Bombyx mori: one gene and its partner. The protein of the gene in region 1 purifies or fractionates together with the protein of each later gene. This does not show direct contact. Links are inferred from orthologs where the notes say so. Each region holds a gene or a part of one and is shown in the gene's direction. Other genes may lie near its edges. The genes, in order: raf and rptor.

Evidence for each region.
Region 2: the proteins of raf (region 1) and rptor purify together in Homo sapiens (affinity purification with mass spectrometry; 3 studies listed by BioGRID and IntAct, with this or other methods). This does not show direct contact. The link is inferred for Bombyx mori from reciprocal best matches to the Homo sapiens genes BRAF and RPTOR.

Annotation. Positions count from the first base shown.
Region 1 is NC_085121.1:975,814-985,184, reverse strand, and holds the start of raf (raf kinase, effector of Ras), read left to right. Parts: upstream 1-4,309; 5' UTR 4,310-4,503; coding exon 4,504-5,079; intron 5,080-6,219; coding exon 6,220-6,411; intron 6,412-7,331; coding exon 7,332-7,453; intron 7,454-8,345; coding exon 8,346-8,463; intron 8,464-9,371. Other genes in the region: U3 small nucleolar ribonucleoprotein protein IMP3, read left to right, coding at 708-844, 1,147-1,358, 1,464-1,639, 1,983-2,006. UniProt on the Homo sapiens protein: Protein kinase involved in the transduction of mitogenic signals from the cell membrane to the nucleus. Phosphorylates MAP2K1, and thereby activates the MAP kinase signal transduction pathway. Phosphorylates PFKFB2.
Region 2 is NC_085123.1:802,488-811,777, forward strand, and holds part of rptor (regulatory-associated protein of TOR), read left to right. Parts: intron 1-879; coding exon 880-1,047; intron 1,048-1,605; coding exon 1,606-1,729; intron 1,730-5,830; coding exon 5,831-5,977; intron 5,978-6,063; coding exon 6,064-6,167; intron 6,168-8,354; coding exon 8,355-8,441; intron 8,442-9,192; coding exon 9,193-9,290. UniProt on the Homo sapiens protein: Component of the mechanistic target of rapamycin complex 1 (mTORC1), an evolutionarily conserved central nutrient sensor that stimulates anabolic reactions and macromolecule biosynthesis to promote cellular biomass generation and growth.

The DNA of each region.
Region 1 (9,371 bases):
TTTTTTTTTCACGCGGTCCCTTGATAAGTTTAAAATTTGAATCACTCTCAAGCGAAAGTGATTCAAATGGTGCGGCGCACCTTCCTTGGGGTGCGCTGCGGTAGTATGTTACGGACTTTAGAGTCAGCAAAACAATTAAAATAGATTGTTATAGCCTAAGAAAAACACAACTCAAAATACGATAACATTTAGCATGCTAGAAATGGGCTGATGGCTTTGAACTACGCCATATCTTTATGTTTTGCGACAAACGACAACTTTATAAAATCAATGTAGCAACTTTTAAAAATCATCATATCGTTTACTTGGCAAATTCGAAGGACGAACTTGTCTTAGATTTCACCCATCTAAATCATATCATATTTGCACATAACAATATACCTACTTACTTCCCATTAAAGTATAAATTCTACAAATAAATAATACTCAACAATATTTAAAATAAAATGAGCCAAGAACGTTTATCGATAAAACCTGATAACATTGAAATCTTTTGTACAGCACTAAAGCCGCCATGTTTTGTGGCCAGATGACGTCACAGGGGCACGAAATTTTGGTTGACGTTTCATTTCCATAGGTTTCCTACTTCATTGGTTTTGACAAACGACTTTATAATCAATGTTCTGTTACATTTTTTATTTTATTATTATTTTTTATATAAGCAGAAACACTACATAACCTATATCCTTGTGCTCGGTGTTCCCAAAATGGTCAGAAAACTTAAATTTCATGAAGGGAAACTGCTAAAGAAAGTAGACTTTATATCATGGAAGTTGGATAACAATATTAGTGAAGTGAAGGTTATGAAAAAGTTTTGTATACAAAAGCGTGAGGATTACACAAAGTAAGGCAATTTTGCAATTATGAGCTATGTATTATATTATGAGACAGCCAGTTTTATTTAAATGAAATGTCTGAGACTTTGTTAATAGGGAATATCGGTCGTTATGCCTAAATTCTAAATTCAGCACACTGAAGTCGTATTTGAGTCAAATATTTTACTTTAGTATCCTAAATTTACAACTGGTTCTACAGGAGGGTTCCACAGAAAGCGGGAATTTGGCCGCTTTAGATATAAACTGTCCATTAATTGATGTAAAATACAATTAATAATAAATCTAAAACTATTATTGTGTGAATTGTTAGGTATAACAAATTGTCTCGTGATATCAGAGAGCTCGCAAACAAGATAAAAGACCTCGATCCAAATAATGAATTCAGGACAGAGTCAAGTGCTCAACTTTTGGAAAAACTTTACCAAATTGGATTGATACCGACAAGATGGGATCTTGCCTTGGCCACTAATGTCTCTGCCAGTTCTTTCTGTAGGCGAAGGCTGCCTGTGTTGATGGTTCGAAGTGAGTATCACTTGTTTCAATAAACATTACAATAACATATTTCTTGGAATTTGCATTTTTATTAATAAATGTCATTTATAATTATTGATGTTTATAAATGCACAGATAAAATGTCAGAAACTATTAAAGAAGCCACAAAGTTTATTGAACAAGGACATGTAAGAGTGGGACCTGAAGTAGTGAAGGATCCTGCATTCCTTGTCAACAGATCACTGGAGGACTTTGTTACATGGGTTGATGGTTCAGCAATAAGAAAACATGTTCTGGAATATAATGAAATGGTTAGTATACACAATACACATTCATTAAACTTTTTAATGTTTATTCATATTTCTAAGTTTACTTACATATTGATAATATAATTGTGAAAAAGCTCTGCGTAGAGGTTTAGAATAGTTGTGAAAAACAACTTTTGTTAAATGGAAAGCAGTAATGCATTAAATAAATTTTAGAACTTGTCCACAGCATAATGTCACACTGGTTTTGATATGAAATTAAAAAAAAATGAAAACATTATATAGGGATCAATTATTTATAACATTGTCATTAACAAAGACATGGATGTGTTTGCATAGATAAAACGGAAGAAACTTAAACTAATATTTCTTTTTTTTTCTTTTACAGAGAGATGACTTCGATATGTTATAATTTTATATAAGGCTTTAGTTATATAAGAATACTTATTTTAAGATTCTGTACTGTTACCACAACAACAAGTGAAAGTACCAATACACTTTTTAATGCACACTATTTTAGTTTAAATTTTTATTTCGCCTTGAAGTCATTTTTATTTAAAATATAGATAAATGATTCTTTCCTTTCAAAGAATCATAAAATACATACATTCCTTTGTGCTCTATGTATAGTATTCCACCAATATAACTTGTTTAAAGTGTAACTTCAATGATCTTAAGGTAAACTTCATTTAATACAGGATCTACCAGTGTTGATGGTTTACTTTAAATATGATCTGTATTGTAACCATTTTGATCATAAGCTATAAAAATTTACAATATTTGTTGAAATACAACAAAATCTAAGACATCCTACCTACCACCAGTAATTATGCAAATTATAATTTTCTGGGTTTGATTTATAATGATCTGCTTTGAGTTTCATTATTTGCAATCTCAGAACCATAAAATGTTTGCAGCAAATCTCAATTAGATAATCTATGACCCCACTAGATACTCTAACTTCCAAGCTGTCACAAAAGTTGCTAACTTTATTTCCGCAGTTCCGAAGTTTGACTTTTAAAAATACGTTTGTGTTGTTTTCCTGCCTATGCTTGAGGGGTTATGCCAGTTCAACACCGGGCGAGTAGGTGAGCTTACGGGGCTCTAACCTGACGAAGTTGCTAACACTAGCTCTGGCAAGAACATGGTTTCGCAGAATCTACCACCGGATCGGAAACGCGACTCTCTGAGAAGATCCGGAGAGAAACTCAGTGGAATGTGTGTGTCTGAGGGTTAATTTGCCGAGCCCTTAGTCGCAAGCGACGAGTTCGACGAGCACATTGACCGGTGCTTGAGGTACCTAAAAGCGCCGATAGTGGATCGGGAGGATCCGAAATGCCTTGATACGTTTGTGCAATTCACTGTGGCGTTTCAATGCCCACATGTTAGCAATCATCGATGTGTCGCTAGAGACACATTAATCCCCTTATGGATATTAATCATGTCACACACACTTTGAAATTTTTATGCCGTAACTTATCGCGGGATTGTTTATAATTTATTTTTCTTTTAGGTGTAGGGAATCCTTCATTATCACTTTCTCCAACCGATTATTTGTTTAGCTGAATAACCTTGAATTAATACGACCGAAATGTGTAAGGAAGTTACGTAAAGATAAGAATCTCACAGTGCTACCGCAATTTTTTAAAACAAATCTAAAGGAAAATAAGTACCAATTGATTTACTTTTTGTTAAATTATGTTTTGTAGAATAATAATTGTCTATAAATCTTTAGTGCCCATGAAAGTACAGAAGATACCATTAATTCAATTGAAAGAAACTGTTTCGCGGGGATTTCCCTCTGCATATATTCACATGCCTACACTGCTTTTTGTCTAAAAGTTTTTAAGCCTGAAATTCATAAATATTTTAATACACTATTTTTGCAATACAGTAGACGGTGATAGCAAAAAAATAACAGTAAATTTACTGCAATTATAATACCTACACCTGGCATCTCGAATACTAAGATATGGGTAATCTATCTATGCCTGGCATCGTTGGGCTTGGAAAATCATCGCCATCATGTGAGCGCATTGCATAGAAAAGCGTAGGGATTAGTGATTTTTGGCGGGAACGCAGGGAGCGATATATATTGGGGGAATTATTTTATTTGCTGGATGTGGCTTCTCAGAATTGTTCAGCATTTAGTAGTACTTTTAAGCTGAAATTAGTTGAAGTGAATTAGTTTTAAGCTCGAATGTACAAAAAACTGGAGTTATGAACTAAGTTCCTTTAGCATGTTCAAAGGTAATAAATAAAACCAATAAAGTTTTTTTTGTTAGGGTAAAAGCAGGCAAAGGGAACTAACCGATAAGTTTAATCCTTTTCTAAAAAAAGCCAAGTTTGAGTACAGAAAGTGAAATGACACGTATGAAATAAAATTCATTGTCATGTAAGTAATTTTGGATTTTTCGATAAAAGGTGGGAATATACAACAACAAATAGTTTTTTTTCTTGTTTTGAAATGAAGGGAATTTAAAAACAGATGGAGAAAGATCGTGCATGAGAAAGTGATTATACAGAAGGGTACTCTCTCAGCATTGACGAATACGATGCAAGGAGGAGGAATACACTTAAATGTGTATCTGTGTTAGGGTAGTAATTAGGTACGTAGTATGAGCTAAAATCTTGTAAACAGATAGCGCAAGGTAGGAAAAGCGTAAATTACTAACCGTATACGTGTTCGCGAACAACTTCCAAGATGAACGAAGTACACTGCGTAACGAATCCGAACCCAAAATTCATTTTTTTGTGACCAACTTGAGACTACGAAATTATGAATTTTATTAAATTGTAGGGTAGAAGAATGAAGTGGAATAGTAGAATTTTCTTTTTGAATAATGGCAATTACAATCATGTCTTGCGCGGCGAGTCTGCGCATGAAATAAAAAAATATTGAAAAAGAAATGGCAGTAACTAGCGAAAAAGAAAATTGTGCACGAATTAATGGAAATATACCCGCGCTATCGCTTAACAGTGACAACATGTCGACGTCGACGGACAGTGATGAGACTGCGGATCCGGAGTACGAGATCAGGAATATACAGAACATTATAAACGTGACTCGCCACAACATCGATGCGCTGAATGCTAAATTCGCTGGTTTCCAGCACCCACCTTCGTTATATCTAATTGAGTATCAGGAGCTAACGTCAAAGCTACATACGCTGGAGCAGCGGGAGAGGCATTTACGAGAATTATTACAAACCGATTCTCCAGATCATAGCGAAGAGTACTCGTTTTTTGATGACTCAAAAAAGTTTGACACTCTAACTCGTCAGCGGAAAGTTTTTCTGCGAGCCCATCTTCCGAACCAGCAGCGAACCAGTGTACAGGTCAAAGAGGGAGTGACACTGCGTGTGGCTCTCTCCAAAGCGCTCAAATTGCGGAACCTGACCTGCGAGATGTGTGAGGTTGTGAGGACGGGCTACAACCAAGTTATACCGTGGGACATTGATATAACCACTATTGATGCAGAAGAGGTCAGTGTACACTAATCATCCCTTAATTACTAATAAAACAATAACTACTAATTACTTATAAAGCTTACAACATGTTTTTCCCTGATTTTTTACTCATTTTAACATTTACTTTTTCATAAACAGTCAGGAAAATGTGTATAAAAATAATTCACTTCTAGGATTGTGAAAAAAAACTGGTATGATTCCATAAACTGTAAACTGGGGTCGATGATAAAAAATCTTATTGCAATCTTTATTTTTGTGAATAGTTGAATTAAAATAAATACCTACTCAGAATGGTGATAAATATATATTTAATAAAAAATATATATGAGGCCTATAAAATCAAAGGCAGCTATATCCAAGTCTGTCAAATATTCAGGTAAACTACAAAAATCGGCCCTAAACACGTCATTACGGATCCTCCCGATCCATCGAAGTACTGCTCTTGCTAGGGCCAGTGTTAGCAACACTCCCGGTTTGAGAATCTGAAATAACTTTGTTTGTATAGCTACAATATTCTTTATTTTAAAACATATTTATAAAGAATGAGAATATTACTAATAATCTGAATTTCAAATGATAAAACTTCGTTTAATAGTACTTAATGCAGAGTAAACTTAACTTTTTTGAACTGAATTTGTTAGAGATTAAGCTGCATTTGTTATAACATGAAAACACTAAAGCATGTTCAACTAACTAAATAAGATAGAGCCATTGTTAATACATTTTACGACATTATGGTGTTTAGCTGCCTTTGATTTTATAGACCTCATATATGATCTTATATACTTTTGCCCATTACATCTTTTTACCAAGGACATATTCTGTGGATGAACATGACCTTTTAAGTGTGGTCAAAATGTCCACTTCTATAAACAATCTGAAGATGGCATCTGGTGGCACTTGATAGATATTCCACTACATTCATATACAGTATCCCAATTCTGATATTAACTAGTTCCAAACCTTCAGGAGCAAGATGAATAAACTCATAGTAATTTTCTCATTAACTCAGTAATGGGCCATATCAAACATCAAATCAACACACAACTTTAATATTGCTCGTTGTTTTTGTTTTTTGAATTAAGAGTGATTACTCATGAGTGATTACTTTTTTATTGATAATCAATGCTAATGTTTATCCCGTTGATTGCTCAGGTAACAGTTCGGACTCTTGACGGGCTACCTATAATGACTCACATCTCACATCAATTCGCCCGTAAGACATTCTTCACATTAGCTTTCTGTGAGTGCTGCAGGCGACTACTCTTCAATGGATTTTACTGCTCGCAGTGTAACTTCAAGTTTCACCAGAGATGCGCTGATAAAGTTCCTAGTATGTGCCATCAGGTTAGTTTATATTATTACAAACTCTAGGTTTATGTTGTAATTTTATCTATTTGTTGTTAAGTATTTTGTATTTCTTTTCTTATAATGTCTTTCTATGTTTTATAATCATTACTAAACCAAAGAACAGTTTGACCTATGAAACAGAATAAGGTACTGAACTTTTTCTTTGCCTATTGATATGAAATAGTAATTAATAACTACTTACTTACTAACTTTGAAGGAAGTGGGGCTCCCTATAGAATTTATAAAAAACATTTACTGGATTGCTTACTGTGTTTTAAGTGTCCCAAACATCAGACTGATTGAGACAAAAAGAAGTATACTTTCATCTCATAATGCAAAACATCTTAAACAATAATTTCAAATCAACCCAGTGGCACAGTAATTTAGTTTACTTACCCTAAAAGGCTTTAACCAATTAGGTGGTAATCGCTGTTAAGTTTCCATTCCAGGGTTTGACATTGGAAAGCTATATATGTTTTTATATTGTTACTTAACATGAGTAAACATAACCGAGCCTGCAGACCAAATGGTAAACAAGCACCGTCGCCCAAAACACGTCACCTCGAATCCTCCCGATCCACTATCGGTGCTTTTAGATACTCCAACCACCAGTCACCGTTCTCGTCAGACCCCTCCATTGCGACGAAGGGTTCGTCGCGAAAATATAACTACAGAAACAGCCCACTGAGTTCCTCGCTGGATCTTCTCAGCGAAGTCTGCCCTTGCTAGAGTTAGTGTTAGCAAAATCGTCAGGTTTAATCCCTTGAGATCGCCTAAACGTTCGGTGTATCTAGTATATCTTGACGCTAGTAGCATATTTAGTATAAGCAAAAAAAAACAATATTATATACTAACCGTTTTCGTTATTAAGACTTGTAATCATGATAATTATAATGATTTGTATTTCGTTTCGACAGGTACGTATGACAGATACATATTATGCAGCACTGTTGGCACAGAACCCAGAAACTCAAGCTGGCATTCTACACTATCCTCCCCACTTCGGGTACCATCCTGGGATGAGAGGAGACCAAAGCAAGTGAGTAGCATAAAATTTCCGTCGACACCTATGCAAGCTTAGTGTTCGCTCACGGGGCGCGCATGCACATAAACTCTCTTGAGGTCATCCAATCCCGTTTCTGCAGGATAGCCGCCGGAGCATCGTGGTACGTGAGGAATGTTGACCTTCACGACGACCTAAATTTAGAACCTATACGTAAGCATCTTAAGGTAGTGTCAGAACACTACTTCGACAAAGCGGCGCGACACGATAATCCGCTTAGTGTGTACCGCCGCTAATTACTTATCCTGCCCAAGCGACGGGTCAATGCAAAACCGCCGTCGCCCAAAACATGTCTTGTCGGATCCACCGGATTTACTCTCGGTGCTTTTAGGCCTCCAGCACCGGTTCTCGTGGAACTCGTCGATTCCACGAGTGAACTAACCCATAGATACAGCCTACTGAGTTTCTCGCCAGATCTTGTCGGTGGGTCGCTATTCCGATCCGGTGGTAGATTCAGCGAAGCACTGCTCTTGCTAGGGCTGGTGTTAGCAAATTCTGTCAGGTTGAACCCGTGAGCTCACCTACCCGTCCGATCGTAGCTGGAATTGCCCTGTATACTACCAACGAATAGGTAGGAAAAAAGAGTTGGCGTTTTTTTTTTTATTGCTTAGATGGATGGATGAGCTCACAGCCCACCTGGTGTTAAGTGGTTACTGGACCCCATAGACATCCACAACGTAAATGCGCCATCCACCTTGAGATATAAGTTCTAAGATCTCAGTATGTACATTTGACAAGTTTTGGTTCCATTAATATATACACTAATTTAAAAAACTAGTTTTTCTTCATTTTTGTGTCAACTCTCTGTGTCATACGTTATACAATTCTCTATTGTTAATGTCTGTAATCTGTTTATTTTGTCCACCAGACAACCACACCCACGTTCATTGAACCAGCAAGACCGATCAAATTCTGCTCCAAATGTTTGCATCAACATGGTGCAGAAGCCTTTGACGCTAGCTGAACATCAAAAATGCTACAGTCAGGTAATATAGTTTTTCTAACCATCAACACAATTATGGTCCTGTGTGCTTAGTGCGAGTTTTTTAACGTTTTCGTTAGCGTAAAAGTTAACTCACAGTTATATGGAGTTGGAATGTTTGCCTACGTTTGCCGCTAGGGGCGCTGTTCTAACTGCATAGAGTTGACTTTTACGCTATCGAGAACGTTCAAAAAACTCGCACTAGGCACACTGGTGTGGATACAGGTACAGAGGTTCTAGTGAGACTAACGTTCGTAACAATTAGTTAGACTAACTCTAAAGTTCAGCGACAATCATAGAATACGAACCCTCGCTTAGTATTATTATTTATTTAACATAATTTTATTCGAAAATATATATGAAAACATCAAAATAATCTATTCTTCTGTTTCATAAACGAAATGTAACTCGATTATTAATCAGCGGAGGCGTGACGCTGCACGAGGGACCGCATACCGTTGTACTTAGTACATTACCGCTCTTAAACTGGAATTAGCAGAATTATTGAAACTCTAAACAAATAATTTTCACAATGACAGGTTAAACTGACAGTTTCGTTCCGACTGACTAAGTGACGGCCCGACTCTGACGTACCACCATTTCATACTTTGGCATTACAGCGTCTACCCTACATTTTTCTGATATTTATCAAAACAGCATTTGATCATTTAAAATAATAATTTTTACTAGTGGTAGAGGACCTCTTGTGAGGCCGCGCGAGTGGGTACCACCACCCTGCCTATTTCTGCCGTGAAGCAGTAATGCGTTTCGGTTTGAAGGGTGGGGCAGCCGTTGTAACTATACTTGAGATCTTAGAACTTATATCTCAAGGTGGGTGGCGCATTTACGTTGTGGATGTCTGTGGGGTCCAGTAACCACTTAATACCAGGTGGATTGTGAGCTCGTCCACCC
Region 2 (9,290 bases), on another chromosome or scaffold:
TTTTTTTTTTATTGCTTAGATGGGTGGACGCGCTCAGAGCCCACCTGGTGTTAAGTGATTACTGGAGCCCATAGACATCCACAACGTAAACGCACCACCCACCTTGAGATATAAGTTCTAAGGTCTCAAGTATAGTTACAACGGCTACCCCACCCTTCAAACCGAAACGCATTACTCCTTCACGGCAGAAACAGGCAGGGTGGTGGTACCCACCCGCGGACTTACCAGAGGTCCTACCACCAGTAAAACATCTTCATTAACTGGCACCTCTCTATGGTATTGAAAATTTATTGTACGTGCGTAAAAACATTGAAGAATTCCCCAGAGTCTGCGATTTGCACAATGTGAACACTAGGAACAAACATAGGCTTGCGTTGCCGGCGGCTCGAATTAAGAAAATAAGCAACTCTTTTAGGGAGCTGGGTGTACAGCTTTTCAACAAGATCCCACTAAACGTTCAACTACTACCTGTTCATAGATTTAAGAAAACTGTTAAGGAACGTTTGTGCAACAAGGCATATTATAAAGTTAAGGATTATTTACTAGATGGCACTACGTGGGAATGAGGCGCTCGCTCCTGGCCTTTTCATTTTTCATTATTATTAATTTTTTTTTAATTGTATTTTTTTTTGACTTGTTTTTTCTTTTATTGTGAATATTTCTATTTATTTAAAAAAAGAAAATATTTGAGAAAAAAACAAAAAAAAAGCCCGCTGAGTTTGTTTCGCCGGTTCTTCTCAGGACTGTGGCTTTTTTTGGAACCGGTGGTAGAGTTAACATTGTTATTTGTATTTTGACATTCAACAAGTGTGTCATACTGACATCTAAGTTGAAATAAATGATTTTGAATTTTGAATTTTGTATGTTGTCGCTGTCCAGGTCAGACATGTACGAGCAAGAAGGCGATAGTGAGCACCGAGTTCGTGGAGTGGGCGGGCGGCGCGTTCTCCCGGCCCGAGCCCGCGCGCCCGGACTGCGAGAGCCGCGAGCACCACCAGCGCCGCTGGACCCTCGCGCGCAACCGCGAGCTGCGCAGGGAGGCCAGAGGTACCGACCCTCACAGAGATCGAGAGGCGATCTGTAGGCAGCGGCTTGGCTCTGCCCCTGGCATTGCTGAAGTCCATGGGCGACGATAACCACTCACCATTAGGTGTTCCGTATGCTCGTCTGCAAGGGCAATAAAAAAAAAGGCGAACTCCCGAGTTACTGTTTAAACATTTATCTCATCATCATCATCATCATTCTCCTGCCCTTCTGACAGTCACCTGGAGTCGGCCCAACATATTTTCTCCTTCCATACTCTATCATATACTATTTCTTCGCTCACTCTCTTACACATATCGACTTTCACGTAATCCATCCATTTCCTCTTAGGTTTCCTCTTTCTCAATATCCTCATTCACAGTTAACTTTCTTACCAACCTTATTTTCATTTCGTCTCATCACATGTCCATACAATCCCAAACGCGCACTTCTCAACTTCTCTGTCACACGTGCCACTTTCAGACATCGTCTAACATTTAAACATTTATGAATGCGATTGAAAAGTATGAAACGTATCGAACACTGTGATGATTGCGTGATGCATGTGGCATGTGGGTGCAGCCGCGTGCCGCGTGTCCCGGCTGGAGACGCAGGCCTTCCACTCGCGCTGCCCGCTGCCGCCCGCCGTGGTGCTCTTCCACCCCTACGACCAGCATCTGGCCGTCGCCTCCAAGGATAACTTCGGGTACGTAATGTGTCACAACCGTGCTGTGATTACCTTCCATAAAGGTTGGATTATGCAAGAAGGGTACCCGTCGGTCGGGTGTCCTCGGGGTGGCGCCGCGTGTCTGGTTGTAGTGTTGACCGCGGGAATCCCCCTACTCTGACCGGGTTTGGACCCCGGATGGAGATCGGACATCGGGTCTAAGAATGTAGGGGAGTCGTTTAGTGGGTAGGGCCCTAAAATTCCTTGGGCCCGCGGTCTGCTCCCAAGACCTTGCAGATCGTCGAGTCCCACATACCCCGCGCCCCCCCTAGACGCGTGGACCTTGTAGGAGGCTAGGCCCCCAGCCCGAAAAAAAAATAATGCAAGATGTGTCCGTGGGGCTGGTAAATAATGTGAGGGACGAGGTGGTGACGTGCCGTACTTGTAACTTTATGAAGTGAAAACTTCTGTGGCGCCGTGGTCATTTGTCGATGAAAAGCGACCACACGAATCTGTTCGGTTACATATGATTAGATCTGCTTAACTAAATAAATTGAATTTGTCAAAGTACCAGGTTCACATAAACGTAAGGAGTTCTCTTTGAATTTGTTATTTCATTCAGTACTGCCAACAGTTACGAACTAAATATCTTAAAATTCATTGAAAGGAGAATGACCAAAAGTCGTCTAACAAAGTTGCATCTTGCAGAATCAAAATAACATTGAAATAGTTTTGTAATTTTTTACAATCAATTTCCCTTTTATTTTTTTTTTATTTTTTTTTGTCAGGAGGAAATCGCCGGACTTCCGCCCTCCACTGGGGATGGAGGGCGGGGCATGTCAGAGTCGAACTGACTAAAACCTCCTGTCGCTCAACAACCAACGTCCAAACCTCGCATGAGACAGAACTCATGAAGAGGCAGAGGGGGGAAAGTGAAGCGTTTAGTGCGGAGCACATCTCTCCCATCACCCTCCCCCTCGGGACGCCGGACCGGCGGTCGTCGGCGCCACGACCACCAGCCCTCTCGGTCGGCAGGCTATCCGAAGCCCGCCTAGATGGCGCCGGTTAGAGTGAGCTATCCTACGGAATACCCCGCTGGACCAGAACCAGCGTGAGTCGAGGATAGCCGGCCTTCCATCACCCGGATGCTCTTGCGTAAAACGCGTGCAGAGCAGCTTGCACGTCGTCTTCTTAGGCCCCCCTCGCCGGTCCCCAGACCGACATGTGAGGGGGACCCGAAATATTTAAAGGGCCAGGGCTTGGGCGAGATCCGCCTCCCTGGCCCCCGCTCGACGGCGGCGGGATTGTGCGTCTCTCACGCGCCCCGCCGCCTCCTTCTGCGAGATGGTGCACTTGCAGAAGTCGAGCATCGCCTTCCACGACTCGTCGTCGCCGAGCATCGATGCCACGACACTCGGCAACGACAAGTCGTTTCCTGTTTTTGCGACGAGGACACGGCGCCACCCCTCCCATGCGGGGCAGGCAACGAGCGTGTGCTCCGCCGTGTCCAAGTCGCAACCACAATGGTGGCACTCTGCCGTCGGCTCGGCTCCGATCCGGTGCAGGAACTCACCGAAGCAACCATGCCCAGTGAGCACCTGCGTGAGCCGGAAAGTGAGGCGTCCTCTGTCACGATTCACCCAATCCACAAGGACCGGGCGAATCGCCTCGAGGGTCCTACGACCGGCCGAAGGATCAGCCAGCCGTCTGGACCATGACTCCAGCACGGACCGCCGAGATTGGGCCCTCCGCGCTCTGACCACACAGGGGCTGGGACGCGCCACGCCCCGGGCACGAAGGTCAGCCCGCTGAAATTGATTCTGATAGTCAGAATCAATTTCACTACAGAAATGTTTTGCACAGGACGGGAATTATGATTTTAAGATTAATAGTAAATCAACAACATCATTTTCGTATTAAAGTCGGGACATGACGTTTTGTTCTCTCTATTTAGACAGATTACTCATGCATGAGTTTTTAGACTCAATCATCACAAAAATGATATCAAAATCTTGTCCAGTTAAATAACTAGGTATATTATATTATATTTTACAACGTATTGAATTATGATTTTATTATTAAGTTAAAATAATTATTTTTTCTGGTTCCGTTTCATCCAGACGCAACTGTCAAGCTATATGATATTATTGTCGATCGACGTAGACGAGCCGGCGGCTGTGACCCAGCAAGCGGCCATACGTTTTTATGTACCTAAAAGTGTTTTAAGACGTGTATATGTTTTGTTTATGAACTCTAGAGTCTCTGTAATTCTGTAATCATGCTGATGCTTGAGCCTCTGATAATCAGGAAAAGTCGGCTTAACATTACCTAGTCAGGTCATAAGTATTGTCACACAGTAAAAACTTTTCTTTTAGAATGCTGGCCACAAAAAAGTTCATTGAATTCGAATTTCGAATTGTTCATGAAAATAAAAATGTATACTTTTAGAATTTTACTCATTTTTACATATTGAGTGGACGCTTAAAGAAGACCGTGTTGCAGTTATTGCGTTGCATCTTTGCGGTTACGCGCTAATTCAAATTTTTAACATACTGAAAAATTTGAATATAACCAAAAGATTCGTTTATCGTACCATCAAACTATACAATGAAGACTCTAGTGTAGATGACAGGTCAAGAAGTGGTTGCCCTCGGTCTGTTAGGACTCCAGCAGTGATAAAAGCTGTGAAGGCGCGAATTCAAAGAAATCCCAAACGTAAGCAGAAACTGTTGGCCCTTCAGATGGGGTTAAGCAGAACCACGGTGAAAAGGGTGTTAAATGAAGACTTAGGGCTTCGGGCATATCGAAGAAAAACAGGACATCGTTTGAATGCTCGTCTAATGGACCTGAGACTGAAGAGATGCCGCGCTTTGTTGAAGCGGTACGCGGGAAAAAAATATCGGGAAATTCTTTTTTCGGATGAAAAAAGTTTTACCGTAGAAGAGAGCTACAACAAACAAAATGATAAGGTGTACCCACACAGTAGTGAAGAAGCGAGCAACCGTATTCCGCGTGTCCAACGAGGTCATTTTCCATCCTCGCTCATGGTATGGTTGGGAGTTTCTTATTGGGGCTTAACAGAGGTACATTTTTGTGAGAAAGCTGTAAAAATGAATGCAGTTGTGTATCAAAATACAGTCCTGACGAACCTTGTGGAACCTGTTTCTCATACCATGTTCAATAACAGGCACTGGGTATTCCAACAAGATTCGGCGCCAGCTTATAGAGCGAAGAGCACACAAGACTGGCTGGGGCGCGTGAAATCGACTTCATCCGGCACGAAGACTAGCCCTCCTCCAGTCCAGATTTGAATCCGTTAGATTACAAGATATGGCAACACTTGGAGGAAAAGGCGTGCTCAAAGCCTCATCCCAATTTGGAGTCACTCAAGACATCGTTGATTAAGGCAGCCGCCGATATTGACATGGACCTCGTTCGTGCTGCGATAGACGACTGGCCGCGCAGATTGAAGGCCTGTATTCAAAATCACGGAGGTCATTTTGAATAAACTTTAGTGTTATAAGAATATATGTTTTGTTAAGTTCATTTTGGTATATGAATGGTTACATAATGAATAAACTTGTTTCAATTATTTTACATTAAACATGTGACAGAATTTATGACCTGACTAGGTATTTATAGGTTATGTCCGTTTTGGTCTAATTACTTGAAAACCCGGTTAATTATGGGGAAGCGAACACTTTTATTCGATAATATATAAAGCGTAGTCTATAATAAATAAAGATTTATTGTGCAACAACATAAGACGGCATTCCATACATATGTGGTCATTGTCCTTTGGAACACAAACCTTTTATTTCCAATAAATATTATTGACAGAGCTCATGGTCGACCTGGGGTCAAGGCTCAACGGAGGGTTGGGCCTGCGCCCCCTGACGTTCTATCCGCCAGACCAAAAGCTGCCACTTCTATGATTTTCTACCTGATGTCGTTTGGTTCTGGAGCTTGGATATTGGATTAATATGAATGCCGCACCCCACGTGATCGTTGTCCATAGCTCAACTGTATTACATACCGGCTGTCTCGCCACACAAACCGGAACGAATCTTTGCTTCGAAGTACGCGGGTTCGCAACGCCCCTAGATGTAGACATTAACCACGTGGTGGTGCTCTCCGCAGTATCTGGGACTGGGGCACGGCGGCCAAGCTGTGCGTGGGCTCGTGGCGCCCGGCGTGGGGCCGCATCTCCTCGCTGGCCTACCTCAACGAGCACCAGCACGCGCTGCTGGCCGTGGCCTCGCACACCGGCAACCTGGCAGTCTACAGGTACCGGTCCCCAAGTGTCAGCTCCTGTAGCCGCTCTCAGCGACCCGTTGTATAAGAGTCCCCGTACATGTGGTGGTGCCACACAGGCCGTCGGGCAGCAGCACGGAGCCGGCGCTGGTGAGCGCGTGGCGCGCGCTGGACGTGTCCCCCCCGCCGCAGTACACCCCGCCGCGCGCGCAGCCCATCTACAGTACGTACCCGCAACCACCTGTCCCCTCAGCCACCTGTCCCCCCAGTCATCTGACCCCCTAGCCATCTGTCCCCCAATCGCCTGTCCCCCCAGCCATCTGTCCCCCAGTCACCTGTTCCCCCAACACCTGTCCCTCTAGACACCTGCCACCCTAGACATGTTACGGTCAAGTTGATATGAAAAGAACGCGACTGCAACGCACGTTTGCAGAGGGCTCCGACCTTCCTCAGAGTCACAGCACAAGAACTACTCATAGTATAGTATTAGAACGAATCTAGCGCCTGGGACACAGTACATTCAACATTGTCCCGTATACTACAAAACGCAACTTATTTACCTGTAACGTCATTTGGGGCCAAATGCAGTATCGTAATTTGGGGTAGTGTATTGTGGGGTATTGTAATTTGTAAGTGAGTTGGGGCAGCCGTTGTAACTATACTAAGACTAGAACTTATATCTTAAGATGTGTAGGCGCATTTACGTTGTAGATATCTATGGGCTCCAGTAACCAGTAAAAAAAAAGCGCTTATTAACTGACTCAGTGACGTAGTAGCTAATTAAGCCGAAAACCTTTATTATTTAAAACTCCTTAGGTTTTAAAAAGGGTTTTTCTTCAGTTTCATGTAGTGAAGTCAGTTATTCAATAAAAAGAGAGCTCAGTTTGGATAGTTCATTAATACAGTTTAATTTTGGTTATTAAATTTAAAAGAGATTAAGGGCTTTAAATGTTCTTTTCTTATTATATTACAGAGAACACAATTAAGTATTTTATTGTTTATTCATCCTGAAGTATAGTCCCCGGCACGTAACTTGGCAAGAGTCGTTAGATGCGCAGAAGTCATTTTTTAGGTCTCTTTGGTTGTCAAGCGGGACGCGGGGAAAGACGTAGCACCGTTCCGAGCGCGCGATTGGTGCGTCAGTCGACCCTCCCCTCCCGCACCGCGTCCGCGTTCCGTTCGCTCCCGGCTACACATTTGCCTACTAAGTTGTAGGATACCCTTTTTTTATATATTTTTTTTTGTTTGGAGTTGTTATTATTGTTTAAATTTAGTTTTTGTTACGAGTGTTATTGTTTTAAATTTGTTTGCAATGCCAGGACCAAATACCAATTACCATATAGTAGATTCAGTCACTGAGCGTTTTATTATTTACGCCAGTGACGACAGCGACTCTTCGTTATGTCGACGATGAGGAGCCAACTCCTTCCACCAGCTCAGGTGCTACAATAAATTTAATCCAAGGGGTAGCAATATTAGAAAATGATAGTGACGACGGCGACACATAATTTTTAATATTAAGTATATTACTAACAATTAAAATTTAATTATATAGTAACTTTTAATTGTATTTTATTTATAACACCTAATACACTTCACGAATTCCTCTCTTTTCTTTAACGTTCTTCAAAACACACAGGCTTAAAAATAAGTTATGGCAAATAAACAATAAAATAAAATTAAATTAAATTATATGCGGGCAATAAAAATGACCATTTTTTTGTTGCAATGTGCACTATGCGCGACATTACCCCCACTACACCAAAACCTTGCCAACTTACGTGCCGCTTACTATACCTACTCCATATTATTATATATATTTAAAGGCACGATATATAATCTATGTCAGTCTCTGATACGCTGACCAAAGGGACTTTTTGGCGGGAACGCGAGGAGTGAAGTTGTGTGATTTGTTGTGACAAAATAATTTGTCTATTTAGTGTTTCCTCGGGTTTAAATGTGTAATAATGGTAGTTTATTAACTGTTTAATATCTGTGAAAGTGCACAAATGTGGGAAAATGAAACAAAGCCGCTGGACGTAACTCCTCGGGATCCTCTAAAAAGTCCACTGAAAAAATCTTAGTAAATGACCACCATTTTACTGAGATTATATTTCATCTCAATTCATTTCATTTAATTTCATCCCAGTTGATTAGTGTCTCAAATTAATTATCTTCATTTTATTTCACTCCATAATATCATTTTTCATAAAAATATGAATAATATAAATGAAAATAAGACATGACTTCAAGGTCTCAGTTACCAGGTCATAAAATCTCTTAAAAAAAAATCCTGACCAAAGGGAATCCTAATCTGTGACCGTATGACCGGGCGTGATTTGTTCGCAGTAACTTTACCGCCGCAGCAATCTTTTCGTTACAAATGCAATGTAATCACAATCTATCCCAGGTATAGCTCAACTGGTCTCTGATCAGTTCTCCTCGAACGAAGACAAACTAGCGACGAACAAAAACAAGCAACAGGCCGACCCCAACTGTAAGTGGCACTTTAATCAACTCATCTCTATATCAACAGTCAATATTTTAAATATTAATTTGAGGAACAGCGGATGTATTAATGGCACATTTGCTCTATAGAAAGGGTGATCCTACGGTCCAATGAGCGAGTCCGATCGAACCCTTTCGTCAGGCGCTAATTCACGTCTAGTTAATAAAAGTAATGGTCTCATTTGTTGATCTATAATTTTTATTTGTTAAAGATATATATTTCTAAATTCTAATGAGAATTATTTTTAAAAAAAAAAATGGTTTTGACGTGACAACGTCTTATAATTCGATGGAGCCGGCTGCCCGCACGAAAAAACATGACTCATGCGGCGTTACCTCGCTCTGAGGCGTTCCATTTAAGGCTTGAAGTGCAAACGAGAGCGCGCAACGAGCGACAAAGAGGCACAATCGGCCTCCGCGTTCGGCAGCGTTCGACATCTGTCTCTCTCCTACTTGAGTGAGCGATGCATCCGTGTGGACAGCTGCTATACAATAATACATTTACATGTTGTCGTCAAGTATGAAGTTCAGTGAAAAGTGAATGTGGTGTCAATTGTTTATAGCAACGATAATTGCGAGAATTGAAAAATGAAACCATTCCATCAGTATTTTCTTATGACGTTGTCACGTTCAACATCTTTTAGAACTGATTTAATAGATAAATGAACTGTAGGACTCAATTTAAAAGGTGTTCATTTCCTACACTCAATTACAATGTGTTGGGGGGTACGTGTGCGCAGTGGGCGGCGGCACGGTGGTACGCTGGGTGGCGGCGCGGCGCTGGGTGGCGGCGGGCGGGCGCGCGCGCGGCGTGCGGCTGTGGGACGCGCGGCGCGAG